Mus musculus: one gene and its partner. The protein of the gene in region 1 purifies or fractionates together with the protein of each later gene. This does not show direct contact. Links are inferred from orthologs where the notes say so. Each region holds a gene or a part of one and is shown on either strand. Other genes may lie near its edges.

Region 1 (15,128 bases):
GAATTTCTGCATTTGAACTGGTAGCCAACAGCTGCCATGCCTACAAAACACAACTCTTTCCTATGCACGTTGCCCACTTTTAGTCCTTCTGACTGTCTGCCCTTTGCCGATCCCCTCCACCAGCCTCTCCTGGCCTTTTATTCTGACTCTCTGGCCTTCTGGTATGTCTGCCCAACTTCATCTTTCTTTTCAGATTTCAGAAGCCCTATAATCTTACAAAACACACTCTCAATTTTTCTTCTTTCCCAAGCCTCCCCATACAAAGTGAGTTCCAAGACAGCCAAGGCTACACAGAGAAACCCTGTCTCGAAAAACCAAAAAAAAAAAAAAAAAAAAAAAAGCTGTCATGGTCAGAAAGCATGCGTATTCCCTGACCACTCCTCAGATCCAGAGCTCAGCTATGGAAGGTGCCTCTTCTCAGTCCCAGGAACCCAGATCTTACCCCTCCGTCCTTAGACCCAGTAGTCTTGGCCCCAGCCCTCGTCCCTCAGGCCCAGCAGTGCAGGTACATGGCCCCTTCTCCTTCCAAAGTTCAAGAATTGAGGTCAACAGCACGTCACACTCTTACTACCAGGATATAAAGGTCTGACCTCCCTTTCCTATCTCAGGCCTGGAACTCAACTTCATAGGGACCCAGAACCCACAGCCCAGAACACTGGAGGTCATCCCTCAGTTCACCTCGATCCCCTGCCTAGAAGAAGATGGTTGTGGCCACACTCAGCCTTTAGCATCAATCAAAGATAACTCTGCTTTCCAGGGCCACTTCTGGCTGGGAGCTTAGCTTTCTACAGTCCACCTCTCCATTCTATTTCCACACTGCAGAATGGAGAGAATGTAGTCGACCTCACACCCTAGGGCTCCAGCTTGCTGCACGGAGCGCAAGTGACCGCTTTTGAGCATAAGAGGGACAGGATAGCAGCCTCTCTCGGGATGGATGCACCTCCACCCAGCCTGCACCTCCACCCTGCCTGCGGCTGTACTGCAGCACCCGCCTGCCTCAGCTTGCAGAATCAGCCCAGGTCCCACACCCGTAATGGGCCTACTTCCCCACAGCTTCCTGAAGCCCCTCCAATATCTGCCCCAATAGGGTTATTTGAGCCACAGTAGTCCAGACCCCTACTTCTCCCTGGAACCCACAAGTCTCAGACCCCTGCCATCTCAAGGCCCCAACGTCAGACTCTACTCCGTACACCGTGGGCACTTGGAACTCAGGACCCAAGCCCCTTTTCTACGAGGGACCCAGGGGTCTGCCCTTTAAATATCCATGGTCCCGCCCTCTGCCCCTTCCAGCACCCCGCCCCCGCCCCAGGTGTCCGCTTAGGTTCTCACCTGTCTGTCCTTTGCCCAGCGTCTTCTCCAGGCGATAGGGGCCCACATATTGGGCGTGCTGGGGTGGGTGTGGGTGTGGGTGTGGGAGGTGGTAGGCGGGGGAGCCCCCGCCACCTTCCTTGGACCCGGACGACATGGTGCCCTTGGTCCCGGCCCGACCGGTCCCCCGGCCGCCCCCCCTGCGGCCCGTCGCCCCGTTCCTCCGGTGGGGGCCGGCGACACCTCCGTCCCGGCCCCCCCGGTTGCTCCCCACTTCTCCGGGGGTCCCCAGGGGGCTGGGCTGGCCCCCCCAGTCGGTGGGCCGCAGAGCTGGGGGAGGGGGGGCTGCCGGGGGGGTCAGGCCCCTGGAATCAGCATGGCGGGGGGGGCTGCGCGGCCCCCCCTCCCCAGCCCGTCCCTGGCCGGCCCCCCCCTTCCTGTGCCTCCCCCTGCAGGGGGGGTCTGAAGTGTGGGGCCGGCGGATGCTGCAGGCCGAGATCCCCCCCGCCCCCCCACGCGCCCTCTCTCCTCCGCCTCCTCCTCCTCTCCGCCTCCCCCCGCCACCTCGTCCTTTCTCTCCGGCACGCTGACATCACCATCCGGGGACTCCCGGCCCTTCCCCACAGTTAACCCTTTCGGAGGGGGAGGGGGAGTGGCAGGGGGCGGGCCTGGAAGCTGGACGGACGGGGAGGAGGTGGGAAGATGCTGGGATGTATGGATGGGTGGAGGGATGCTGGAGGAGAAGGATGCTGCAGGAGAGAGGGATGCCTGAAAGGATGGAGGGAAGGATGGAGAGAGATACAGAACCAGTATTAGACAAGCAGAGATGAAGACACAAAGAGAAGTCTGACATACATTAGTAGATGGGAAGATGCAGAATATCAGAGACAGGGTGGAGGAGTGAAGGAGGTAATAACGGAGCGGGGAGAATTAAGAGTTCAAGGCCATTATAGCTATAAAGTGTGTTTGAGGACAGCCTAGACTACGTGAGAACGCCCCCTCAACCCACCCCCTCAAAAAAGAGCTGAAAGGGGCAGACAGGGATAGGAGACAAACAACAGACAGGGATGAGGAGATAGAAATGCAAAGGAAGATGTAGAGCGAGGGGGACAAAGAGAAATAAGGACTGTCAAGGGTCCATATATTCACAGGAGGGAATGATGCTGGGCTTAGATGGGAACAGACTGTGGAGTGTGTGTGTGGGTGGTGGTGGTGGCAGAGGATAAAAGAGACAAAGATAGAAAAGGGAAGGACTTTGGGGAGTTGGAGACCTAAGTGTGATCTATTTCTCTATGTCCTCTAAGGTCAACACTGTGTACTCCTTGGGCTAATTCTATGTTCCCACCGTTATCAGGGCTCCACGTTCTGCTCTTGTTTTTTTTTTTTTTTAAGACAAAGTCCAGCTGACCTCAAACTATGTGGCTGAAGATGACCTTGAACTTCTGATCCTCCTGCTTCTGTCTCTCAAGTGTGAAATTACAGTCCTGGAGAGATGATTCAGCAGTTAGGAAGAGTAGGCTGCTTCCCAGGGACTGGGGATTTGCATTCTCAGCATCTATACAGTAGTTCATGGCTGTATGTAACTCCATCTGGTTTCCGGGGATCAAAGTACACGTGGTACACATATGCACAGACAGTTATCCATATGCATATTTCTTCCAACTCCTTTAAAATTGTTTAAAAACAGTCCGATACCACCATGCTTTAATGTCTCCTATACCTTGATAGGTAGGCAGATAGATCCCAGTGCAGGCTGGATGTGTAATGTTTGCTTGTTAAGTCCTGTAAACTTCAGGTAGGCCTCAGTATAATCCATGTGCCTCCGTGGGAGGACCATAGGTCTGCACTCAGCCATGAGGAATCTGGTTCCTATTAAGCTTCCATATAAGCCATAGCCTTCTTTATGGCAGGCACCCTAAGTTGTTAGGCATCCATTCCATCCCCAAGTTTCTCACAGGGTGCACCAATGCAAATTGGTGCTCCTCTGAAGTGGTAAGCCTATCAAGCCATCTTCATTTCAGTATCAAATCTGAGCCATACACTGTTCTGAATGGTAAGGATATGGCAGGGTGCTAAATCTACAAAATTCCTCCCCGGGACAGCCATGGCTACACAATAAAACCCTGTCTCAAAAAACGAACAAAACAAAGCAAAACAAAAAAATACATAGTTTTGAAAAAATTTCACACATGTCTATAATGTAGTCTGGTTACTCTCCCCACATCTGTAATTTATTATTTGTATGTGTGTGTGCAGATGTGAGTTCACACGAGCGCATAATGTTTGTAGAGGACAAAGGCTAGCCTCTAGTGTCCTTCCTCATGAGCTCTCCACCTTGGGTGTTTGTTTTTGGAAACAGGGTTTTTCTGTGTAGCCATGGCTGTCCTGGAACTCACTATATAGACTAGGCTGGAATCAAGATACACCAGGATGTTGTAGATCTGTAACTGAGAGCAGAGTACATACTTTAAACTCAGCACTCATCATGCAGATATGGTCAAACTTCTGTGAGTTTAGCAAGTCCCAGGCCAACCAAAGCTATATAGTAAGACCCTGTTGTGCCCCCTCCACAAAAAAAAAAAAAAAAAAAAATCCTTAACTGAATCTCATCTTCAAAATTTCTTCTGGCATATAAGGTCATATATTTATAGGTTCTGAGAATTAGAGCTAGAATGTATGTGTGTGTGTATGTATGTACATATACATACATATATATACATTATATACAACACATATATGTATATGTATGTATATGTGTCTATGTATGATGTATATATGTCTAATGATATATGATACCACATAGTATAAATGTACATAGTATATTTATATGTATATATAAATATTAAACACATACACACCATGATGATAGCCTAGATGCAAGCTCCTTGCATATTATGAAAGTTACAGTATGATACATAGATACATATATAGAGATAAATACATTTGTAATAACCTATACGGAATGTGATCATATAGCTTTTCCATCTCTACTGAGATTCTTTAGAGTAAGAGGACTCCTATTAATAATAGCATATACCTGTAATCACAGTATTCGAGAGGAAGAGGAATTCAAGATCAGACCAGATATATAGCAAGTTCAAGACCAGCCTGGGCTACAGAGATCCTTTTTAAAAACCTAGAGAGGCCGGGCGTGGTGGCGCACGCCTTTAATCCCAGCACTCGGGAGGCAGAGACAGGCAGATTTCTGAGTTCGAGGCCAGCCTGGTCTACAGAGTGAGTTCCAGGACAGCCAGGGCTGTAGAGAGAAACCCTGTCTCGAAAAACAAAAACAAAACAAAACAAGAAAACCTAGAGAATAGGGTTAGGGAAATGACTTAGTTAGTAAAATATTTGTTGCACATGATAAGGGACCTGAGTTTGAGTCTCAGCACCCACAGGGTAGGTGTAGTAGTACATGGTTATAGAGAAGTGGAAACAGGAAGATTCTCTGGGATTCAATAGCCAGCTGGCATAATCTAACGGGCAAGCTCCAGGGTCAGTGACAGACCCTATCTATAAAAAATAGATAAAAATAAAAGGTAAGGCTGGAGAGATGGCTTAGCAATTGAGTTCTATTCTTTCAGAGGACCCAAGTTCTGTTGCCAGAACCCATGTCAGGAAGTTCTCAATTACTGGTAACTCCAGCTCCAAGGAATACAAAACCCTCTTCTGGCCTACACATATACACATACATAAAGAGTCTGGATCAGGTGAGATTGCTCAGCAGTGAAGAGCATCGCCTGCAGCCAGACAGTGGTGGTGCACGCTTTTAATCCCAGCACTTGGGAGGCAGAGGCAGGCGGATTTCTGAGTTCAAGGCCAGCCTGGTCTAGAGGACAGCCAGGGTTACACAGAGAAACCCTGTGTCGAACAAACAAACAAACCCCCCAAACAACAAAACAAACAAACAAACAAACAAACCGCACTGACTGCTCTTCGAGAGGTCCAGAGTTCAATTCCCAGCAACCACATGGTGGCTCACAACTACTATCTATAACAAGATCTGATGCCCTCTTCTGTCATGCAGATGTATATGCAGACAGAGTACTAATAAAAATAAATAATTTCTTTTTAAATACAAAAATCAAGCCAGGCAATGGTGGCAAATACCTTTAATCCTAGCACTTGGGAGGCAGACACAGGTAGATCTCTGAGTTTGATTCCAGCCTGGTCTACATAATGAGTTCCAGGACAGCCAGGGTTACACAGAGAAACCCATATCAAAACAAAATTAAAAACAAGATATTTGTTAACAGCAATAGTAAGAGTTACAGGGAACAAACCTTATCTTCTGGCCCACAAGGGCACCAAGCAGGTACATAAGGTGTGTATATATACACAAGTAGGTAAAATACTCATACACAAAATAAAAATGAATAAAACGGAGCAGGGTGAGTGTGCATACTTTTAAAAAATATTTATTTATTATTATACACATGTACACTGTAGCTGTCTTCAGACGCACCAGAATAAGGTGTCAAATCTCATTACGGGTGGTTGTGAGCCACCATGTGGTTGCTGGGATTTGAACTCAGGACCTCTGGAAGAGCAGTCAGTGCTCTTACCCGCTGAGCCATCTCGCCATCCCTGAGTGTACCTACTTTTAAGGCGTGTGAATATTTATGAGTTGTAGGGCAACCTGCTCACATCGTTCTGCAGGCCTGCCCAGGCTACATACTGAGAGCCTCCCCAAAACAAAACACCAAAATAAGGAACCATCTCCAAAACAAAAAACAAAAGAGGGGTGGGGTGGGACGGAGAGAGAGTTCAATGAGAGATATTTCAATGATTAGGAACTCTTGTTGCTTTATTGCTCTTGCTGAAGACTCAGGTTCAACTCCTAGCACCCAATTATGATGGCTCACAACCATCTGTAACTCCAGTTCCTGGCAATCCATCAAGCAAGCATACAGTGCACGCACATACATGCAGGCAAAATGTTCAGGGTCAGTGGTGGCACACGCCTTTAATCCCAGCACTCAGGTGGCAGAGGAAAGTGGATCTCTGTGAGTTTGAGGACAGCATGGTCTACAGAGTAACTTCCAGGACAGCCAAGGCTATACCGTAAAACACTGTCTCAAAAAACAAAACAAAAACTAACCAACCACAAACTATTTGTACACAAGTAAATAGGTAAGTCTACAAAAAAATTAAAAGAACAACAATAATTTAAGAGGCTGAAGAGATAGCTTGTCATTAAGAGTACTTACTGTTCTTGCAAAGAGCCTGAGCTTGGTTCCTAGCACCCATATATATATATATATTGGTTGTCTCATAACTGCCTGTAACTACAGCTTTAGTTTGTCCTTTGTCTCTGGCCCCATAGAAACCTGCATTTACAGGCATCTGCCTCCTCCCCTACTACATAATTAAAAACAATCTTTAAAAATAAAATCTAGCCGGGCAGTGGTGGCCCACACCTTTAATCCCAGCACTCGGGAGACAGAGGCAGGCAGATTTCTGAGTTCGAGGCCAGCCTGGTCTACAAAGTGAGTTTCAGGACAGCCAGGACTACACAGAGAAACCCTGTCTCGAAAAACCCAATAAATAAATAAATAAATAAATAAATAAATAAATAAGTAACTCTAAAAATATTTTTAAAATGATTGGAAGATCGAAGGTGGAAGACAGCTGATGTTGACATGGGACTTCCCACACACCATGCATAGTCACATGAAGACACACAACTCACACAGAGTATTCCACACTGAAACCGGTAATAAATGGGGAAACTGAGGCCTAGAAAAAAGTGAGCCCGAGTCTCAGGTTACAAAGGTGGGATATTAGGGGAGATATCCCGAGACTCTAGGAGCAAATGCAGTTAAAATCAGTTGAGTGAGGAACAAAACCGTCTGAGCAGCAGCAGCAGCAGCAGCAGCAGCAGCAGCAGCAGAGAAGGGGCGTGGCCTACGCAGGGGCGTGGCCGAACAGGACAAGCTGAAGTTCCAGGTACTAAGAGGCGGGACTTGACTGGGACAGGCCGAAAGGCCTAGAAAAGAGGCGGGGAATATGGGCATAGGCGGGGCCTATGCCTGGGAGGGGAGGAGTTCGCCATGAAAGTCCCTTGTTTGCTAAGATAAACAGAGGAGCTAGGGGGCGGGGCTTATAACAAAAGCGCGAAATGTAGGGGCGTGACAAAGAGAAAGTGGTGGGGGCCTAGTCGACAGAGGCGGAGCTAAGTGCCGCATCCGCTAAGAGGTGCTGCTTAGAACTGGGCAAACAGCTTGGGGTGAGGCACTTCCGTGTGAGAACTGCGTATTTCCGGTAAAGATGGCGGCGCCCAGTAGAGTCAGGTGCAGCCTAGTCTATCTTTAGGCGTGGTGGCAGCTCTAGACCCGGCAAGGTGAGATCAGCCCCATTGGGGCGCCCCTCTTCAAAGACACGGGAGGAGAATTGTTGCTAAGGAGACTGAGCGAAGGCTTGTTGCCATGGAGGCGGGGCAGTGGGGTTGCTAAGAGACGAGGACGCAAGCTGGGGAGCTTGGGGGGGCTCGTTGCCAGGGAGTAGGTGGGGCCTGTTGCTAGGGAGCAAGGAGGGACATCTGGATTTGGGCAAGGGTCCTGTTAGTATGAAGGAAGGAAAGGGGGCTATGGTTAAGGTGGTTGCAGGCAGAATGGTTTGGGATCATGAGAAGACTCCTAACACCTTCAAAACTCCACCTTCTCAGCAGACCTTCAAGAGTCGACCCATCCGGACACCATTGCTGCCTCAGCGGTGACCATCAATTTCCTTTAAACACATTCTTCCTTCACAGAAAGTCCATGGCAGACAAAGGCTCAGGGGGCAGTCGCCTCCCTCTTGCGTTGCCTCCGGCCTCTCAGGGTTGCTCGTCAGGGGGCAGTGGTTCCTCGGCGGGGGGCTCAGGCAACCCCCGGCCTCCACGGAACCTCCAAGGCCTGCTGCAGATGGCTATTACTGCGGGTTCTCAGGAGCCAGACCCCCCTCCAGAACCCATGAGCGAGGAGGTAAAGTATGAGGACCTAAGAAGGTTGGGTGAGGGTCCTGAGGATCTAAGTGTCTTGGGGAGAGTGGCTTAGTGAGCTACAAGCTGTTGTCTTCCTGGGTGGTGAGCTAGAGTCTAAATGTGGCATCATGATAGGGTGAAGGTCAGCTGTAAAGTGTCCGATCGCAGCCTTGTATTGGGAAGTCTCATGATGAGTGAAAAGTCTAAAAGCAAGCTGGGTTCTCTAGACCCAGGCAGAACTAGATTCAGCTTTGTCTCCACAAGTGTGACCTTGGGTATATTATTTAATCTTTCGAATCCTCAAGTGTTCGTTCATTTTTGAATTGATGGTGATAATAGTAATGATAGTGTCTTATCAGGCAATTCTGATGTTCCAGTCTATACTGACTCGTACACAACGTAGTTGGGTTTTGCCAGTTGCCAGCCATGACCTTGGTTGGGCAATTCACATCCTTTCTTTGCCTCTGATTTTTTTTTTTTAATCAATGAATTTGGAATAGCTATAATAAAACCTTACAGAATTGTCTTAAAGGTTGATAGGAATTTTTCATGTAACTTTTTTTAATTGACATTTACGATACATAGAATATTGTAGTAATTCAGTTAAGTTACAGAATAATTTATACATGTTGTGTCATGTTGTGCCAAGGTGGAAATAGGCATAGAGCAATGAGATAGTTTGCCCAAATTTGTCCAGGAGCGTGATTTCAAAGCCTTACAGCTTCTTCCCCTTTTCTTTCCTGTTTTGAGATTGCGGTCTCAAACAGACCACGCTAGCCTTAATGACCTTACCCTCCTGACCTTCCTGCCCCACCTCCAAAGTCTTGGACTTACAGATATATGGTAGCCATTTCAGTCCTCCTGAAGCGCCCTTTTGGGGACAGTGTAGTTTCTGGTCTTCCTCTGGACTCCTTTCTTTTGTTATCTCTTGTTCTCCTCATTCTCTATCTTTTCTGGCTTTTTTTTTTTTTTTTTTAATTTCTCCAGACGACAGTTGGCATGGCTGGAGAGCCCTTCTTGTTCCAACTTGGTAGCAAGTGCAGACCAGGGATACTATTCAAACCTCATGTAGTTCTCAGGACTTTTGTCACAATACAGAACCATCCAGCTCACCACAGCCTCCGGTTGTATAGCTGATCCTCAAACCTGACATCTTTTGGGAAATGGGCGGGACTTGTTGCTGAGGACAGAACCCCTGTATCAGCCTGACTCCTCTTTCTCCCCTCCTCCCTTAGCTCAACAGTTGGTTCTCTCTTCAGAGTCCAGGATCTGGCCATATTTCACACTGATACACAGATGAGGTTGTTCTTGAACTTGCTTCTGCCTCCATCCCACCCCGTGCTGGGATTATAAGCATGTGCCACCGAAACCTGCTCCATAAACTTTTCTCTTGCATGGACTACTTAGAATCCTAGTAAGCGCTCTTTCCCTGCTCCTATGCTTCTCAGTCCACCTCTCTGCCTCTCCTCGGGAGAACTCCCTTCCCAGCTCCACCCACTTCATTCAGAGCAGAATCTAGGCCTTTGCATCTGTTTGTAAGATCCAACTTGCTCCTTTCCTGGGGTGTTTCTCTCTCCTCAACTTTTTTCTTCCCTCACTTAACCTTGCTTCAGCCACCTTGGCTTGCTGGTGATTGCCTCTGTCTTGAATATTCTTCCTAGTATATGCTTGGCTATTCCCTGGCCTATTTCATTGCTGACATCTGACCCTCCAAGATGACCCCGTTTAAGTTCTACAGGCCAACCTCCACTCCCATGATCCTCCATTGTGCTTAATCTTACTTACCCTATAGCACTTGTCATATTGCCATCTCCTGTCACACTACATGTTTTGTTTTGTTTGTTTTTTCCCTCTAGCTTCTCTCTGTGTTTGTCTTGCACACACCCTGAACAACACTTTTTTTTCTCTAATCAGTCTGTCTCAGGACTGACTCCCTAGAACCTAGAAAAGAAGTTATGAGTAAAAACTGTGTAAACATCTGAGTGTGGTGGCTCTTGCTTGTTAATCCCAGCACTTGGGAGTCTGAGGCAGGAAGGCTGCTGTGAGCGGGAAGCCAGACTGCACTATAGAATGAGAGACTCCTGTGCTTCCCCCAAGATGTCTCCTAGATACTTGTTGATGGAAAGAGCCATCAGTCCTTGCATTTGGCTGTCCTATTAGTGTCACTCCCTGGGCAGTCACTGAGAGACATCTTCTACCCCCATCCTTCTCCCTTCTTCCCTAGAGACGCCAATGGCTGCAGGAAGCCATGTCGGCCGCCTTCCGGGGCCAGCGAGAGGAGGTGGAGCAGATGAAGAACTGCCTCCGGGTCCTGTCCCAGGCCACACCCGCAATGGCTGGCGAAGCTGAGCTGGCCACTGACCAGCAGGAGCGTGAAGGCGCACTAGAGCTGCTGGCAGACCTGTGCGAGAACATGGACAATGCAGCAGGTACCCTCCTCCCTCAGTACTCCCCAGGCTGTCCCACATGCTGTCTGGCTCTGCCCTTTCCCAATTCTCCTGTATTGAACCAGCAGCTCCTCCCAGGAACAAAGCCCTCCTCATACCCCACCAAGTCCCTGTGGTGACAGATTTGTTCTGCTACTTCCCGAGGAGTCCTGGGACTGATGTTGACTCCCTAATTTGCTTGCTACTCTCTCAAGGGAAGGGAGGTGGTTTGGGATGGAGTGGTAATCTGAGGCCGCCTGGAAGTAGAGTGTTTGATCAGAGACCTGAGTGAGGGTATTTCATGGGGTATATCACCTGAGTGAGGGTATATCATGGGGTATATCACCTGAGTGAGGGTATGTCATGGGGTATATCACCTGAGTGCGGGTATATCATGGGGTATATCACCTGAGTGAGGGTATGTCATGGGGTATATCACCTGAGTGAGGGTATATCATGGGGTATATCACCTGAGTGAGGGTATGTCATGGGGTATATCACCTGAGTGAGGGTATATCATGGGATATATCACCTGAGTGAGGGTATGTCATGGGGTATATCACCTGAGTGCGGGTATATCATGGGGTATATCACCTGAGTGAGGGTATGTCATGGGGTATATCACCTGAGTGAGGGTATATCATGGGGTATATCACCTGAGTGAGGGTATGTCATGGGGTATATCACCTGAGTGAGGGTATATCATGGGGTATATCACCTGAGTGATGGTATGTCATGGGGTATATCACCTGAGTGAGGGTATGTCATGGGGTATATCACCCGAGTGAGGGTATGTCATGGGGTACTCCTGCTTTACAAAAGGCATTCGAGGCAGTAGGAATAGCTAGTGCAAACGTTGAGGTAGGATGGTGCTACTGTGATCAGAACAGACAGACATCCTCCTGTCAAAGGAGTGGGACGGACACGTGTAGGTCTAGGGTAAGCAATGACATTGAAGTATCCATGGTCAAGGTGCATTCTGTAGGTCACATTCATATGTATGTATGCATGTATGTATATATAATTTATTTATTTTTAAATGAGACAAGATCTCACTATGTAGACCTAGCTGGCTTGGAACTCTGTGGTCCAGGATGGTCTCAAACTCACAGGTATTTTACCTGCCTCTGTGTCTCATGTACTAGGATTAAAGGGGGATCAAAGACATTTGCTACCACAACCAGCTTTTTTTCCTTCTTTTTTAAAGATTTATTTATATGAGTACACTGTTGCTGTCTTAAAGAAGAGAGCATTGGATCCCATAACAGATGATTGCGAGTCACCGTGTGGTTGTTGGAAATTGAACTTAGGACCTCTGGAAGAGCAGTTGGTGCTCTTAACCACAGAACCATCTTTCTATAACCACCCCCCCTTTTTCCCCCTTTTTTATGTATGTATGTATTTATTTAATGTATATGAGTGTACTGTAGCTGTCTTCAGACACACGAGAAGAGGGCATCGGATCCCATTACAGATGGTTGTGAGCCACCATGTGGTTGTTGGGAATTGAACTCAGGTCCTCTGGAAGAGTAGCCAGTGCTCTTAACCACTGAGCCATCTCTCCAGCCCTTTTTTTCCCCCTTTTTTGAGACAGGGTCTCACTGTGTTACCCTTGCTGGCCTAGAACTCACTATGTATACATATTAGGCTGGTCTTAAACCCACAGCGATCCCCCTCCTCTGCCTCCTGAGAGCTAGGATTAAAGACGTTTTATGTTTATGTGTGAGTGCCTGCATGTATGTATTTGTGTGTACCACCACATGCATATCTGGTAACCTCAAAGGCTAGAGAAGAACTTTGAATCCCCTGGAACTGGAGTTACAGGCAGTTGCAGTCTGCCCATGTGGGAGTTGGTAACCGAATATGGGTCCTCTACAAGAACAGCAAGTGTTGTTAATCTCTGAGCCATTCCTCAAGCCCCACATTTTTTTTGTTATTGTTGTTGAGACAAATTCTCAGGCAGCCCAGGCTACCCTCATGCTTGCTGTGTACCTGGGGTTGGCTTTGAACTCCTAATCTTCTTTTCTCCTCTCCCCCGGTGCTGGAATTTCAGGTGTGTGTCACCAGGCCGAGTTTCTTTTTTTTTTTTTTTTTTTTAATTTATTTATTATTTATTATATGTAAGTACACTGTAGCTGTCCTCAGATACTCCAGAAGAGGGCGTCAGATCTCATTACAGGTGGTTGTGAGCCACCATGTGGTTGCTGGGATTTGAACTCAGAGCCTTCGGAAGAGCAGTCAGTGCTCTTAACCCCTGAGCCATCTCGCCAACCCCCAGGCCGAGTTTCTAAACTTTACTTTTATTTATCAAGGTAAAAAAAAAAAAAAAATCACAAAATGGGCCAGTGAGAGGGTTCAGTGGGAAAAAGTGTTGCCACCCAGTGACCTGAGTTTGTTAGAAACTCACATGATGGGAAGAGAGAAACACCTCCCAGAACCTTGACCTTTAAAATCGTACATAACATGTGTATGCCTACACACACACACACACGCACACACACACACACCACTAATAAATATAAATAAATATGTAAATGTTAAAAAGTCACAACAGAAGTAACCATTTTGAGTATATAATTCTGTAGCATCCATCTCTTTTATTTATTTAATTTTCTTGTTTTGTTTTACTATTTTTGGGAGGGAGGTTTTATGAGACAGGGTTTCTCTGTGTAGCTCTGGCTGTCCTGGAATTCAGAGATCCTGCCTGCCTCCTCTGAGTGCCAGGAGTAAAGTCGTGCACCACTACTGCCCAGACAGTCTATAACATCCTAGCTGACGCTGAATTTGTGACTGTCCTTCTGTTTATACCTTCTAAGAGGTGGAATTACAGGCTGTGCCAGCACTGGGCAGCATTCAGGACATTACAGTATTTTGCAGTATTACCTCCAGGTTTCAGAACTTGTTGAGTATGGCAAGCCTACTCGACTGAGCTAGATTGCTAGCCCTCTTTGCATTTCGTGCTTTGAGGCAGGGTCTCAGAAAGATGCTGAGTCTAACCTTGAACTCCTGAAGTCCACGCAGAACTTTTAATCCTCCTGTCTCAGCGTTTTGTTTTTTTTGTTTTTTTTTTGTTTTTCTAGGCAGAATCTCACTATGCAGGTCTGTCTGTGCTGGAATTTAAGTATATATATAATATATAATATAATAAATCAGTCAGTAAGTATATATATATATAATATAATAAATCAGTCAGTATGTATATATATATATATATATATATATATATATAATATAATAAATCAGTCTGGTGGAGTCAAACACACAGAGATCCACTGGCCTCTTCTTCCCAAGTGCTAGGAGTGCACTAGTATACCCTGCTCTGTCTTGGCTTTCTAGGTAGCTGGGGTAATAGGCATGTACCCCCAGTTCCTCCCAATCTCTTGTTTTGTGACAGTGTCTTGTTTTGTTTTGCTTTTGTTTTTCGAGACAGGGTTTCTCTGTATAGCCCTGGCTGTCCTGGAACTCACTTTGTAGACCAGGCTGCTGGCCTTGAACTCAGAAATCCGCCTGCCTCTGCCTCCCAAGTGCTGGGATTAAAGGCGTGCACCACCACCACCGCCCGGCTGTGACAGTGTCTTATGTAAACCAGGAAGGCATAATACTTCTACGTAGCTGAGGATGACCTTGAATTTAGGATCTTACTGCCTCCTTCTTAGTGCTGAGTGTACCACTATGCCTATTGTATGTGGTGCTAAGACCCAAACCCAGGACTTTATGAAGGCTATGCAGGCACTCTACCAACTGAGCCTTAGCTACAGACCTGACTCACTTCCAAATCTTTTCATCAGCCTTTCTTCTCATACCCTGTCTCTAAATGAATACCCTGTTTCAAACCTTGTCTCTAAATTCTAAGGAGTAAGCGGTCAGCCTGTGAATTGGGGGCTTTGACAGTTTTCTCTCCTCTCCTGTCCATAGATTTCTGCCAGCTGTCAGGCATGCATCTGCTGGTGGGTCGATACCTGGAGGCAGGGGCTGCAGGGCTGCGCTGGAGGGCAGCACAACTCATCGGCACATGCAGTCAGAACGTTGCAGCCATCCAGGAGCAGGTGTTGGGCTTGGGTGCCCTGCGCAAGCTACTTCGGCTGCTCGACCGGGACTCCTGCGACACGGTACGAGTCAAGGCTCTCTTCGCCATCTCCTGTGAGTGTTCCCGGATTTCAGGGGGAGGGCCTGGGGCCAGTGCTGACCGCAAGGGTGGGGTTTGCTGATCTACAGGGGAGGAAAGGTTGGGGTGCTTCCTTTACTTTTGATTTGTATTCCTGTTGGGGCTCTGTGTGGTGCAGGAGCCAGAGTAGTGACGTCAGAGCCAGATACTAATTAGGCCCTGATGGTGCTGATAGATGACCTTGTGTTCCAGCTAGAGCTTCTCATACCTATCAGAGTCCTTGTCCACGTTTGGGGTCAGTTCATTTTCTGCCTTGGGGATCATC
Region 2 (15,172 bases), about 130 Mb from region 1:
CTGAGAGACAGAGACAGAGTGAGACATACAGAGACAGAGAGAAACATAGACAAACAGTGAGAGGAACACAGAGAGAGTCAGAGAGAGAGAGAGAAAGAGAGAGAGAGGTGGGGGCAGAGACAGAAAGAGAGAGAGAGAGAGTTAGTGGACACAGCTTGCCCTTACAAACACTTGTCTGTATTCTGAAAGCCCATGCGGAGAGCTTGCCAAAAAAATCCAAGTTCATGGATGTCTAGAAAACAAATCCCTTCCAGTGTGAGGGCTAGGGGGAGGAGGTTTCCAAATGCTCTGCTTAAATGTTATTAATTTTAGAATAGAAATTAAATAATTATCATTTCATAAATAAGGCATCAGGCAGTTGTGACCAAAGCCATCTTGCCATTATATCAGTGAATTGTGCATCCAATCTTTTATTGTGCTTCAAAATTGTCTACTCTCGTCAAATTAAAGTGTGAAGCAAAGTATACCTCATTAACTTGCTAATTGTTCTTGACTTAAAGATAGCATTTAATTGCATCTAAAATAGTCTTCCTAAAGCCAGGCATGATGATGCATGCCTATAAATCCAGTACATGGCAGGCAGATGCAGGGGGAGGGGCAGGAATTCAAGGTAACCCTTGTCTATCCAGAAAGTGTAAGGCCAGCTTGGGCTACATGAGACCATGTCTTGACTATCCCAAACAAATCAAATAAATGATCTAAATAAAATAAAATAAATAGATAAAAGCACTAGCTTATAAACTTTTAAAATCACACATCATTAAACACGTGTGACGTGTGTGCTGACCACATTATATGCATGTCTGTGCGCATGAGTCTGTGAGTCTTTGCATGCATGCAGGGGACACAGGAGAATGTTGGGTGCCCTGTTCTGTCATTTTCTGCCTTATTCCTTTGAGACAAGGTCTTTCATCAAATCCTGAGCTAGCTTGGTGGTCAGCAAGCCTTGATCCTGCTGTCTTTGTTCTCCACAACACTCTGGCTCCAGTTGAGCACATGCCTAGCCTGACTTTCTACGGAGGTACTGAGACCAGAACCTAGGTCCTCAAGTTCCCACACCAGGTGACCCATCTCTCCAGGCCCAGTTGTTTATTTTTAAATGATTTTAGATGGCTGCTCCTTTTAATCCATCTTAAAGGATACTTAGAGCTCCTTAAAAGAATTCGTTGGCCTTGGGCCTTACTGTATTAGTCTGAACGTTCTGTTGGAGCCACAAACCACACGAGGCTTTAAACTGAGGCTTGGCTGCCTACGTATCCATATCCTTTAGAAGCCAGTAGTCCTTCTCATGGATCAGTCACACGGGACTGAGGACTAAGTTAGTCGCCTGTTTCCCCATACAACTTGTTTTGTCATACATCCAGAAGAAAGGCTGCCAGACTGTTGTCATAGAACAAACTTAAAACCAGGATGAGTCACAGGAGGGGGGAAGACCTGCTGGCTGGCTGGCTGGCTGGCTCTGAAGAGAGTCTTGCAAGCAGATATGAGGTAAACAGGTGGGTTGACAGCTGACAAGGAGATTAACTAGGTGACCTGAGTTGGTCCACTAGTAGTATCAAAGGACACATTAAAGTATGAATAGATTTTCCCCCCCAACACTGCCAGTATGACAAAGGATCTACAGCCAGGCTGCCCCCTTGACCATGTGGATCCTCTCCCCTTAGCATGCAGTCTACCTAAGCCAGAGCTGCTGTGTGCTGAGAGCACCCACTGTCACTAAGGATGCAATTTGAACTCTTGTTTGTCTTCATCTTTTATTCCCTTTTTTTCCTTTCTTTTCTTTTTTCTTATACAAGTGTGTGTGAAATGTGCCTGTTCACATATGTGTGGCTGTATGTGTGCATGTACATGTGCACATATGTGTGCGTACACGTGGATGTCCAAGGCTGGCAATCATGTGTCTCCCTTGATTGCTCTTTACCTTGCACATTGGCTCAGGGTCTCTCGCTGTACTGGGAGCTTGGCATTTTGCTTAGCCTCAGTAGGCAGCTCACTCAAAGGATTCCATTCCTTCTTCTTACGCAGAGCAGCTCAGCCACCTGGCTTTTGTGTGGGCTCTGTGTCTCTGAACTCAGGTCCTCACACTCGCATAGCAAAGCCCTGAATAAATAATAAGCCATGGACTTATCTTGAGTAACATACTCATCGAACGTTGTAAAGATTTCCAAATGTCTATCTGCAGAAAAGCTCCCTCAGTAGGCTGAAATTCTTTTGAAAACCAATCATTGCTCGAGCGTCACTTCTATCTTGAATGGACAGATGAAGTCTGTTGGGGAAACTTTCTCCAAGTAGCTTCCTAATGAACCTACTTGTCACCACGTGGAACACTGACAAAAAAAATAATAACTCACTCTCAAGCTTGACAACTCTTATTGGTGGTTTGTCACTGAGGACCTGTGACCTTTGTGTGTAATAGGAGCTGCTTCAAGGTCATTCTTTCCCCATTGCACACCAGCAAAGAAGATCTCTAAAAAGCCTGGTTTTGTCATTGAGTTTAACCTTGCTAGTGCCATCCAACAGACTTCACTTTGTGACAGTGCTGTGTAGTGGTCACTGACAACCAGTGTCCTGCCTTGGGGGGAAGCCTTGTTCTCCCCTACCTCACTAATGCAACAGTTGGTCATGTGATCTTTGTTGTTGTTGTTAAAACAAAGCAAATGGCGGGAGTGCTTGTCACTGACCAAAGGCTTAAGGACTAGCAGCCTGGGTCCTGGATACAGATGACATGGACTCATGGAACTCAAATGCAGCACTGGGTATATTTACAATAAATATTTGGTATATTCTCACTCTACAAATGTTTTCAGTGTTCATCTGAAATTTTGTTTTGACTTACTGGCCTATTTGTTGCCTAGCAACCAACCCTCACATGCAATAAGCACTACTTTCATTGCATATGGAGTCTCTGCCTGGTATGCCACTGACCAGGGCCCGAGCAAGGGTACACATTTAGTAGTATTTCTTTTTGTAGGATGCTGTGGTTCTTCCTGCAATCCCGGGAACTGCCTCTGGAGGTCACTGTCCTAAATTGTGGTTTATAGGCCAATGTGTTCTAGGATTAGCAGTCTGATTAAAAATGTAGAGTTCTTGGGCTAACCCAGAGATATTGATTTCAAAACTGATGGTGGCTTGATAGTCTGCTGTTTAAGCCAGCTATTATGAAACAAACTGAGGTTCTAGCTGGGCACAGTGGCCCAGCACTGGAAAGGCTGACCCAAGAGGATTGAGTTCCAGGCCGGCATAGGCTGTGTAAGGAAACCCTAAGAAAGAACAAAAAACAATGAAACTCTACTGGCCTACATTAGTAGTTTACACCTGAGTAGTAGACCTGAGCACTTGTCCAGCTTTGCTTCTCGTGAAGACTGCACATCTCTCAGTGATGCAATTCTGTTTGTCTTTCTGGATCACGCCACTCTCTTTAAAGAAGGAAGAGGTGGGTCCTGATCATCTCAAATCCAACTTCCAGCTCTGAGCACAATCATGAGTCAGAAGCTCAGGGCTTCCCGTGTTCAGCAAGCAGAGAGTGGGGTTGGCTACGTGTAAGACCCAAGGTAAGCGAGACCCACATTCCAAAACACTACCAAGGGTTAACAGTCTCCAAGGCCAGCATCCTCCGCTAGTTGCACAGCAACTCCAAGGGCACTGGATTCCCCCATTAGACTCAGCAGCACCCACAACTGCTCTCAGCCCTCACACAGTTCTCTTTCTATCAAGGTTTTATAGAGGATTTCTAACTCTGTTTCAAAAAAGTATTGGACAAGCATGAGTCAGCTCTCGGTAATTCTTCCAATTATGAGAGCACCCTGCAGGCACCGAGACATCTCGGCAATGCACCTTTGATTTGAAGGGATCTAGGATCCACAGGGTTACCACAGAGCAGGGCCTATTTTGATGATGGGGCACTAATGAGGAGACTGAGAGAACCACAGAGAACCTCAAGAGCCTGGAGCCTCAGACTGAAGGAAAGAGGGCAGAGGGAAAGCAGTCCTGAGAAGCCTCCCTAGGCCGTGCTGAAGCTGGGGCATAACAACAGCAATGAGGACTGAGGGTGACTGTCCTGGGATGTGAGCCTTGAAATAGCAGCAGGTATCAGGATAAAAGGTTAACTTCCAAAATAAATGAATAAACTACCAGTCTTTTTAAAAAAATAAAGACAATGAAAAGCCAAAAAGTTTACTTCTAAAATAATTTAGTGTTGTCTTTGCTACAATACTTTTCTGGAGGGCTGGAGAGATGCCTCAGTGGTTAGGAGCACTGACTGTTCTTCCAGAGGTTCTGAGTTCAATTTCCAGCAACCACATGGTGGCTCACAACCATCTGTAATAGGATCTGATGCCCACTTCTGGTGTGCCTGGAGATAGCGACAGTGTACTCAAATATATAAAATAAATAAATAAATATTTTAAAAAAACCAGTGAGTAGCAACTTATTATACTATCTGAATAGTGTCTCGTGTTCAATGGGAGTCTGGAGAGGTGGCTCAGTGGTTAGGAGCACTTGTTGCTCCTAAGATAGACTTAGGTTCAATTCCCAGCACCCACATGACTGCCCACAGCCATCTGTAAGTCCAGTTCCAGGGGATGTGACACCCACTTCTGTCCTCTGAGAGCACCAGGCATGCACATGGTGCACATAACATACATACGGATAAAACACTAACACACATAAAAAAATAAATCTAAAAAAAGGAAACATAGTGTTTAATGGAATACATTTGAGGATACATTTTTTTCCAAAACAATATAAAAATATTACATGCTACAAATAACTAGATGCATATTTTTAAAATAATGGTCTCACTGTGTATCTCTGGCCAACCCAGAAATCACTACATATCAGAGGTCTGCCTGCCTCTGCTTCCAGAGTGCTAGAATTAAAAGTATGTGTCACCACCTGGTAACGAAATCAGTCTATTACTGACTAGCATTTCCCTGAGAGACTCATGCATGGTGAGGGAAATTTTGCAAACTACGAAGCTCTAGCTTACAAACCGTTTCAGAACGGCACAAACCGTGCATCAATATTAACTTCAATAATTGATGACACCGGTGCTACACTACATTGAGCTACTTTATAAGACATTTTTAGCCTGGATTTTGAGTATTAAAATATTTTTGAGTGAACTACATTGTTTTTTGTGTTTCCAACATTTTGAAAGCACTTTAAAATTGACAGTACCAGTCAATTTCCCCTACATTGCCTAAGGGCTTAAACAGCTCGGTTTGCAGGTGCAGAGCCTGCTGCTGGTGAAAAGGCTGATCAGACAGAACGAAGGCCTTTGAGTCCAAAGGCGGCAAGGGAGGCAGATTCAAACGTTGTTTTCTCGTGTGTGACAAACACAGGATAAAGCTGTACAAGTATAAGGGACCAAGGATGTGTGTGAAGAAAACGTGGGGTGTATCAGAAAGGACTTATTAGAGTGACCTGAGCGGAATCTACAAGATGCGCAGGAGTAAGCTAGGGAACTCAGAGAAGGAATCCTAAGCACAAGAAAAGCACCAGCAACTTAGAGCTGTGGTGGCACACAGTAAGTTAGTCATCCACTCCACATGTGTATCCTAAGCAAAGAGGCCATGAGGCACTGAGACGGGAAACACGAGAGCTCAAAGCCAATGCGACTGTCCAGGGAGGCATGTGTGACAGAGACCATCCCAAGGAGACGTATGTTAGGCAAATTCTGGCAGCTGTTCTTGTCCTAACGTTTGAATGATGGGAGGAGTGATCTGTTTCCTCACAACACTGGATTTCAATCACTTACATTAGAGGCAGTGATGATAACTTTTAGAAGCCTACAGCATGTGTTTGATTATGGGGGAAAGGCTCTTAGAGCTGGAGGAATGTATAAACTTTATGTAACCCAGATGTGCCTGGTTTCTCCAGGCCTCAGGGATCACTCTCCTCTCCCAACTAAATTAGTCCCTGCCTGTGTGTGGCTTCTTGAAACCCAGCCCCTGGCCAGACCTTCCTCCATAAGTCTGGGGGCGGCGGGGGGGGGGGGGGGGGGGGAGGGGGGAGGGGGGAGGGAGCTTGATTGGCTTGCCGGAGCCCTGAGCTCTCATGAGCCCCTTGGTGTTGTCAGACTCCTGTTCTGTATACCGAGCTCTCACTTCTGCTTCCTTCATTTCTCCTTTTTGTAGGGTACTAGTAGCACATTTTCCTACTAAGCATCATTAAAAAGGATCCACATGTTAGCATCTCAAGAAATTTGTACAATATTTGAGTCCCGAAGAAAAAAAAACCCACTACTATACTACCTCAGTAAATTCTTACTGATACATCGTTATTAATAAATGACAAAACTGTAAGGTTATCAGAACCTAACTTATATTTGTAGAAGTGTTAATAAAATTAAATATGAAACAAGAAAGAAAAATAGAAAAATGTTAGACTAAATGTAAATCATTTCTTTCTTACATGAATCTGTTCATTTAGAGACACAAAAACAACCAGAGATTTCCATTTCAGAAACAGATGGATTTTCAAATTGGGACCATATTACTTTTTAAATATTTGCTTATCATTTAACATACTATGATGTGCAATTTAATTTTTAAAAATATTCCTGTAAAAAAAAATATTCCTGTAACGTGAGTTAATGGATATACAGGGTTTATTTTTAAGTACTCAAAGTTTAATCTTTTTGTGTTAGCTACATAGGTCTTATTCAGATCTCTGTATTATTATTGTGTGTGTGTTCATGCCACAGGACATGTGACGGCCAGAGGGGAGCTTTCCAGAGTCAGTTCTCTCCTTCTACAGTGGGGTCCAGGGATGACATGGAACTCGGGCCCTCAGTTTTGTTTGGCACAAGCTTTTATGTGACGAGCCTGCTAGCCTCTGATGTAATAAACAACGAAAAGGACAAAACAAACAAACAAACAAACAAACAAAAACTGGCTCTAAATACAGAGTAGTTTAAAAAAAAATCACAAAACATGCTTTAAAGTAAGGATCTGCAAAATATGCACCAAAAAGTTAATTCATAAAAATGTCTTGTTTTGCATGAAAGCAATTTGCAGACTGCATCTGCTTTCTCCGAGAACTCCTAAAGTTTTTCAGTTACTGGGTTTTTAGAGACTAAGGAAAATTATAACCTGGCATGGCTAAATAATTGCAAAGGCCAAAACACTGAAAACTGAAAACGTATACCTCCGTCCTGGCTCAGCCATTAGGAGCACTTTCTGCTCTTGCAGAGGACACAGCTTAGCACCCACAGCCCACAACTCCCAACTGCGTGTAACTCCCGTTCCAGGAGATCTGATGCCCTCTTCTGGTTTCTGCGGGCACTGCATGCACACACGCAGCCAAAGCACTCAAAACACATTTAAAAAAAAAAAAAAAAAAAAAAAAAACCCAAAACGTAATACCTCGACATAAAACAAAACCTTTTACCTCAAATATATATGTTTTATGAGGAATGTAGCAGTTTGTCTGTTATTGGGTGCAGGGTGGAAATGTAGCTCCGAGTGCTTGCCTAGCCTACACGAAGCCCTGGGTTCCATCCTCGGGCAGAAAGAAACCCCAGCCCTCGGGAGCTGGAGGCAGAGTGTCAAGTTCAAGGTCACTCTCGGCTATTTTGCGAGTTCGAAACCAGCCAGGGCTGCATGAGCGCTGCCTAGAAACCGATTAAACAGACTGATGGCTTCTCTCTCCTTGCTTCAGCCCCACTGATCTGAGGGTGCTGAGACCCACGGAGGTCCCCGCGCGTGTGCAACTCGGAGAAGCCCCAAGAGAGCGGCCGCCTGCGAGGGCCTTGATGCCACCAGCTTTGATTACGCGAATACCCAAGGCGGCACCGCCCCACCCCAGCCACCGCGACTTTGACTCAAGTCTCATTAACTGTTTGCCAACAAAGACCGGCCACGAGCGAGGGGGAGGAGCCCGGGAGGCGTGTATCGCGAGAAGTGTCCGCCCTAATGGTGTGACAGGCAACGGCGTGCGGCAGCTCCTGCCCGGACCGCGAAGGAGGAGCCAGAGCCGGAGGACGGGCTGGACCTTTGGGTGAATCTCGCGAGATTTCATCGCGCTACCTCGAGCTCTTCCTGGCAGCCGCCGGAAGTGCGAGCCGCTGAGTGTCCGAGTCGCTCGCTCTGAGGTTCTCCTGCGACTCTGGGCCCGCGTTCCTGTCGCCGCCTCCAGGGCTCGCGCGTCTGGTCGCCTCCCCAGGGTCGGAAATGATGGGGGACCCCAAGGAAGCAGGAGCCGAGGCTTCTCCTTCAGGGGCGGCCGCCCGAGGAGGGCTCAGCCTCCTGTCCCAGGCGGACTCCGAGGAGCCTTCTGCACAGGTGAGAGGCGGCGGCGGCGGAGCGCGACCTGCAGGGGCTTGGGGGGTTTGCGGGCCTGGGAGGGGGACGTGGGGCTTCTGGAACTTTCTTCCACGCCTCCTTAGCACCTCTAGTACGGAATGAATCACCAGGCGAGCCTGTCGTCGGGTGTGCAGGCAGGCGTTTGCTTGCAATGCGCAACACCCCTGGCTTCGCACTCGGCGCCAGTGGACGGGCTATAGAGTGTGTGTGTGTCACAGCCCGCCGAAGGCAGGCAGAGGAGAGAGGGACGGACCCAGGGAGGGCACAGAGAATTTGCAACGCCTGGAAGGGTTCTCGAAGGAGAGTCGAACAGCGGGTCCAGACATTGAGCATGCCCGGGTGGGTGTAGGGTCAGCTACGGAGCTAATGTAGAATGGGATGCGATGAGCTTACCGATCAATCGCTGTGTGTTTGGTAAAAATAAACACGTCCTGCAAATGACGTTTGTCATTGACTTATGCTACTTAAAAATATTCCATTAGAACCGTACAGAAGTCTTGCTCGTTTTACATGCGGTTGACAGGACACAGTTGAGCGCACTTAGTTTCTGAGTCTACATTTTTCTGTGACTCATCGTACCGGGTTGAGTCTTGGCTGGTGTGGAACTGGTTATGCAGACCGGGCAGTCAAGCTGGACGTAGACCTTGCACTGGCCCTTGTGCCTCTGCCTCCAGAGTGCTTGAAGCTTGTGTTTGCAACTACTATGCCCAGATTTTTAAAAAGCAGGTTGGTTGGCCCCTGTCCACTTCTTGATTGATCCTTTTTTTTTTTTTTTTTTTTTTTAGTTTCGTGAAAAACAGCTAAGTAAGCGTAATTTAAGCTTGTTTATTAAGTGTTAGAGCTGACACGCAGCTGAGGCTCCTTGTGAATCCTGATTTGGTGGGTTCTTAATTCATTTTTATGAAAGTGAGATTGTCGTTCCTGGCAGTGTTCATTAAAGCTTCATTCCATATGTTATTTAGGGATCGGCCTTATTTCTTGGAGGCAACGAAGTGAAAAGCAGAGCTGTGGTAAAATACTCTTCTGCCCCTCCTCGAACAGCGTTTGCACGTCTCGAAGAAAAAACAGACTTGAAACTCCCACCTGCCAACTGGTTACGAGAGAGTGCCAAACTAGGGCCAGCAGGAACCACCATTCTTGGCAATAGTAAGAAAAGCAAGCCGTTTTCAAGGTAAATTTTAATCGCTGGCATTTCTTTCCCTCCCTCTCAACCCCGGCTCGAAGCTCTGAAAGCTGCTTCGCAGTTCAATTGGAGATGCATGTTCACTTGCTCAGATATTTTTAGTAAAAGAATATAGTTGTCATCCAAAGTCCATGGTACAGTAAGAAGATTTCAGAGGTACATGCTTTCTTCCAGGCTGCAGCATGTCACGATAACGTGTACACGTTGACTGCTCATCAGCTGTTTTAGCCTGTTGTGTCTGCTTTCATATGTGCAAATAGGATGGTATGCGAGGGGCAAGACTTAAGCTGCTGCTCGGCTTGCCCTTTGGAGTGTTTATTAAATATGATGGAGTATTTGGAAAAGCCTGAGGTTTAAAACCCCAAATGCTGGGTAACCTACACCCTTGACCCACACTGGAAATTCTACTGGTGGTTTTTAAAGTTGTGAGTATTTGGGAGTCTTATGCTGTGTCTATATTCTTGTAGGCTGTTTTAACCGTGTTTTCTTTTTCCTCCCCTGAATGATTGGACTTAAAACATTTTTATATAACTTATATAAAACTTTATATAACACAGAAAGAGCCACAAATGCATTAATACCCTGAGCTAGTAGTTTAGAGATTATCCTAGTGCCTCAAAAGGTAATAGCTTTGCTTACAAGTTGATGTAGCATTTTTGATACTGTGAAAAGTCTGAAAATGACCACATATTTCGACTATTTTAAAAATGGCTTAATTGTATTAAATGTGGTGAGTTGGTTTCAGTAGTTGTGCTAGATTTTTTTCTTTTTTAATATTTATTTATGTATTATATATAAGTACACTGTAGCTGTCTTCAGATACACCAGAAGAGGGCATCAGATCTCATTACAGATGGTTGTGAGCTATCATGTGGTTGCTGGGAATTGAACTCAGGATCTTTGGAAGAGCAGTCAGTGCTCTTAGCCATTGAGCCATCTCTCCAGCCCTAAGATAGACACTATTAACTGTTTGTACATGAGAAATGAAGGCTAACCTACTTGCCCAGAGCAGATAGAAAATCATACATGCATATGCAGTCCTGATTAAATGTCCTGACTCTGCCACCTACTAAGGGGAAAATGGTGACATCCGTTGCTTTGCAACCTTATAGATGAACTTGGTGATTTGAATGAGTTAGGTGCTTACCAGTTTTTCATTTTCTCTTTAAGCTGAGTTGATTTTAGGTACAATTTTTTTTCTTTTATTGATGTTATATCTTTATATGTTATATCCATACATGTTAACATATTTTTCTCATTTTGTTTTTCTTCATATGTGGAATTAAATCTTGAACTGTTTTGCATCAGAGAGGTTAAGGGTTTATGCTCACACTGACTGCTTTTTGCAGTTCTTACTGTCTCACTAAGTTGAAGATGCATTTTAAAGATGTGCTTCATTTTCTGTGTACCTAAGAAGAAATGAGAAGTTGGCAGCCAGATGGCAGTGGACTTCTTGATTTCCAAATGTGAGGTGTGCATGTCCTAGAAGCAGTAGACAGTTTTACTCTGTTCAGCCTTCCATCTGTGGCCTCTTCCTTCCTTCCTTCCGTAGTTTCGGCATGGCGTATGACTTCATTGACTCGGTGGGAAATGATGTGGATGTCGTCTCCGACTCAGAAGTGAGTGTTTTCACGGTGACTTTGGGGATATGCAGTGCCGCAGGGGAGGGGAGGAGGATGTTAAAACGTGTTATGCTTTACAGTCTTGCTATCAGCAATGGAATAAGACAAAGTTATGTAATTATTCAATACCTATGTTTGCTTTAAAAATGCTTTTTATCTCCTCTAAGAGGAGGATACAATTCCAAAACAGTGGGACTAATAAAAAATATGAATACTGTTGGTTGTATTTTAACAGTAATAATTGAATATGTTTAGAGTTATTCTGTGTCTATTACCATTTGAGAATTTAAAATGGTATACTAGTAGCTGTTGTCCTCCATCCCTATAAAAAGGAATTGTACTGTAATAGAATATGTAATAGTGTTGGGCTGCACTTACATTGACAGTGTAACTCAGAGTTTAAAGCTCTGCCCTCTATATGATTATTATTACGAAAAGTCTAGTTTGTGTAACCTTAAATAAGGCTTATTAAACTTCAGATTGAATGAAGTTAAACTCCATAAATTCTGGGTGATACTAATGGGGCCTCTCTAACTCTCTTAAGAACATAAAAAAGCTCCTGAAGATTCCCTACAGCAAGTCCCACGTGAGCATGGCTGTGCACCGCATAGGAAGGACCCTCTTACTAGATGAGCTGGACATTCAAGAACTCTTTATGAGGTCATCTCAGGTAACTACTTCATGCAAAAATCATTTAGAAAAGCACTCTCTTAATATGAAAGTGTGGTTTTGTTTTAAGGAAATGCCAGAGTCGGGCTAAGAGCACTTGCTGGGCAAGCACAAGGACCTGAGTCAGATTCCCAGACCTTGTCTAAAAAGCAGAGCATAGTCATGCAGGCCTGGAGCCCCATTACTGTGGGGAGCTGGAGATAGGATGGCTAGGGCTTGCTAGCTTGGCAGGAACCGGATCAGGAATGACAAAAAACAACCTTGGGGTACAGCGAGATAGATGGTGATAGAGCAGGACACCTGACAACCTCATCTGACATCCAAAACAGACCTGCACGCCTGAGCATCAAACACACGCATATGTACATATTCATACTTAAAACAGTTTTTTTTTAATGCCAAATTGGAATTGTAGCTGAGTACTTCAGCAATAAAGAAATGAGCTGTTTGATCAGAGACTTAAAAATAGAGAAAAGCTTTGTTAAAGACAAAGCATCTGGTCATGGTTGGTGGAATGCAACCAACCTCAGGCTGAGGAGACAGAAGCAAGAGTGAATCTCGAGTTCAAGGCCAGTCTGCTGTATGTAGAGTTCTAGGACAGCTGGGCCTATATAGAGAGTCTTTAAAGGGGGGTGAGGGGGGAGAGAAAAGAACAGAGAAGAAACTTCGTATAATTTTTAGGTGCATGATGGACACATCTGTGAACCACATGGCATGCCTAATAACTAGGGAGGCCAGAAGAGGGTGCTGGATCATACAGATATTTGTGAGCTACCACTTGGGTACTGGGAACCAAACCCAGGTCCTCTGGAAGATCAGTCAGTGCTCTAAACCATTGAGCCATCTCTCCAAACCCATTTTTTTTTTAAGCTGAATGTAAAACCAGGATTCTGTCTTTAAAAGGATGAAGTCAGTTTTTAAAAGAAAGGATTGGTAAATCTGTGAGATTAAAGGAACTAATTGTTTTTGAAAATTCTTTTAATGTCTATTATAGACATACTCTGGAAACATGGCTGGCCGAAACGTAAACAACGTTAAAGAGCTGTTCCTATGAGTATAACTAATTATACGAGTTGATTTCTAGCTTCTCAGGCTGCTGGTCCGTAGATGCTTTCCCCCAGGTGATAAGGACAGTTGTGACTTCTCTAGGCCTACTTGATGCTTGCCTTCCTGGGCTGCTGACAAGTACTTGATGGTTCTGCCTGTCTGTACTACCTTTTAAATATTCCTACACAGTGCTATTTTTGCTTGAACCTATCTTCATGCATGATAGATAAGTGTTCTGTCACTGAACTGTACCCATGAACACCTCTTTCCCCAGACAGGGTCTTGCTAATTGCCCAGGCTGGCCTCTAACTCACATTGTAGTTCACCCAGGTCTTAAACTTGTAATTCACCTGCTTCAGTCTCCAGGTAGCTGCGATGACAGACCTGCCTACCAGTCCTAACTTCTCCAATGCTTGGATAACAAAAAATAAGTTACAAGAAATTAATTTGATAATATAGTTTCTTTAGAAAGCAACACAGTGCAGCTTGTGTGTCCTGTACTTGGTCAGATCTTAGGGTGACAGTGAACAAGTCACAGCCCTTGCTCCTTAGTTCAGTGTGGTTGTTGAGACACACATAGGTACTTTGATTAAAGTGTAAAGCGGGGCCTTCCTCGGGCAGCTGAGAAGGTACTGTAGGAAAGGATTTCCTCTCCAGGCCTAGCTAGAAGAGAAACGTAGGAGATTCTTAGATGTGAATTGGGTGCAGAAAAATCAAAGTGTTCTTTCTATTGTTCTTCCTATAAGTGCATGCTCATGAAACAATCTGTAGAAACTAAAGAATATCTGCTTTTAGCTGAGAGCATTGGGTGAGTGAGAATCGGTGTCTTGCTTGTCACAGAGAGGAAACATCCAGCAGAAGAGCAGGAGGGACGTGAGTGTTGTTCTGGGTGGGTGCAGAAGCTCCATCCTGTCACCCTGTCACAGCACAACTCCTTAGAGCCAGGGTGAGACTCTGCTTCCCTCATGATGACCGAAAAGTAAAGAGAGAGAGAAGGGGCCAGGAGTGCAGGATCCTTTCAAGGCCACACCTCCAGAGACCTAGCTTCCTTCCTCTAAGCTCTGCCTTCTAGAGGTTCCTCGGTATCTTAGAAACACCATTGGCTGTGGGCTGAGCTTTCAACACAGTGTCCAGTATTCATCACACGTGTGCATATTTGTTCGGTAATGTCTCGTTATTCAGACTGGTGATTGGACATGGTTGAAAGAGTTCTATCAAAGACTGATCGATCAGAAGTGGCAGAGGAAGAAGAAAAGCAAGGAGCACTGGTATCAGAAGGCTATTCTTTCCAAGTTCTTGTACTACAGGTATTTGACTACTGTTTATCTTTGTCTTAGGAAAAATCAGATTCTGTCCTAAAATTTACAGTTTGAATAGGGTAAAATTTGCAGTTGAAGTTTTGCTTTGTTAACACTAACTATGTTTCTTATAGACAAGATGCATGCTTGATTATAGAGTCTGTTTTATACAGACAGGTAGGCTGTAGTATGATGTGTCACGTTTTCCTCTCTATTTCCGGTTGACTAGCATCAATGGTGATGGAGCTGCGCAGCCTGTCCCGTCTCCTGCAGAACAAGAAGAGTCATCGAGTTCTCAGCAGACACATGAGTCTGAAGGGGCCGCCTGGCCTGCTCCCTTTGAAATGCCCTCTTCCGTGTCTGAGGATCCCAGTGCTTCCAGTCAGGTTTGTCAGTCCTTGGATCTGATTCTGTGAACTCACTCAGGAGAGCAGAGCTGAACTAAGCAGGTGATGAAGAAGGGTGAGGGGTATTCACTCAGCCTCATCTCAGGGTTAGAAACAAAAATGCATTTAGCTTTCCACAGTAGAATATCCAGCAGTTAACATGAATCAGGGTTAGATTAAATAACACAAAATATTTTAAAGTAGTCAACTGATTTTTTTTTTCTCTTAAAATTGAGTACGACTGAATGTAAAGTGTATTTTTAACTCTAGATATGTACTAAGTACCTGTCATGCATTGAGTGATAGGTGTGCCTATAATTTAGGTTGTTTGGCCTAAATTGGATGATGTTCCTCCTGGAAAATGGATTTGGCCCCACATTATCATATAAAGATTTTTAAATATTTTTATTTTATATATATGGGTATTTTGCCTGCATGCACAGATCTATGTGCCAAATGCATGTCTGATATGATAGATCTCCTGAAACTAGAGTTCCAGGCAGTTGTGAGTTCCCATGTGGGGTTCTGGGAATTGAACCAGGGTCCTCTAGAGTAGCAGGAAAGTGTTCTTGACTGCTTAGCCATCCCTCTAAGTCTATGTGACGAAAGAATAGACTGTTGTCTATTTTATTTATGTTTATTTTATGAATATGGGTGTTTG

The links.
Region 2: the proteins of Hspbp1 (region 1) and Edrf1 purify together in Homo sapiens (affinity purification with mass spectrometry; 3 studies listed by BioGRID and IntAct, counting the BioPlex papers as one, with this or other methods). This does not show direct contact. The link is inferred for Mus musculus from reciprocal best matches to the Homo sapiens genes HSPBP1 and EDRF1.

Annotation. Positions count from the first base shown.
Region 1 is NC_000073.6:4,677,417-4,692,544, reverse strand, and holds the start of Hspbp1 (hsp70-binding protein 1), read left to right. Parts: upstream 1-7,563; 5' UTR 7,564-7,651; intron 7,652-7,975; exon of another isoform or gene 7,976-7,978; 5' UTR 7,979-8,069; coding exon 8,070-8,273; intron 8,274-10,496; coding exon 10,497-10,701; intron 10,702-14,613; coding exon 14,614-14,838; intron 14,839-15,128. UniProt on the Homo sapiens protein: Inhibits HSPA1A chaperone activity by changing the conformation of the ATP-binding domain of HSPA1A and interfering with ATP binding. Interferes with ubiquitination mediated by STUB1 and inhibits chaperone-assisted degradation of immature CFTR.
Region 2 is NC_000073.6:133,629,639-133,644,810, forward strand, and holds the start of Edrf1 (erythroid differentiation-related factor 1), read left to right. Parts: upstream 1-8,036; 5' UTR 8,037-8,174; coding exon 8,175-8,285; intron 8,286-9,268; coding exon 9,269-9,477; intron 9,478-11,041; coding exon 11,042-11,108; intron 11,109-11,655; coding exon 11,656-11,781; intron 11,782-14,009; coding exon 14,010-14,134; intron 14,135-14,354; coding exon 14,355-14,511; intron 14,512-15,172. UniProt on the Homo sapiens protein: Transcription factor involved in erythroid differentiation. Involved in transcriptional activation of the globin gene.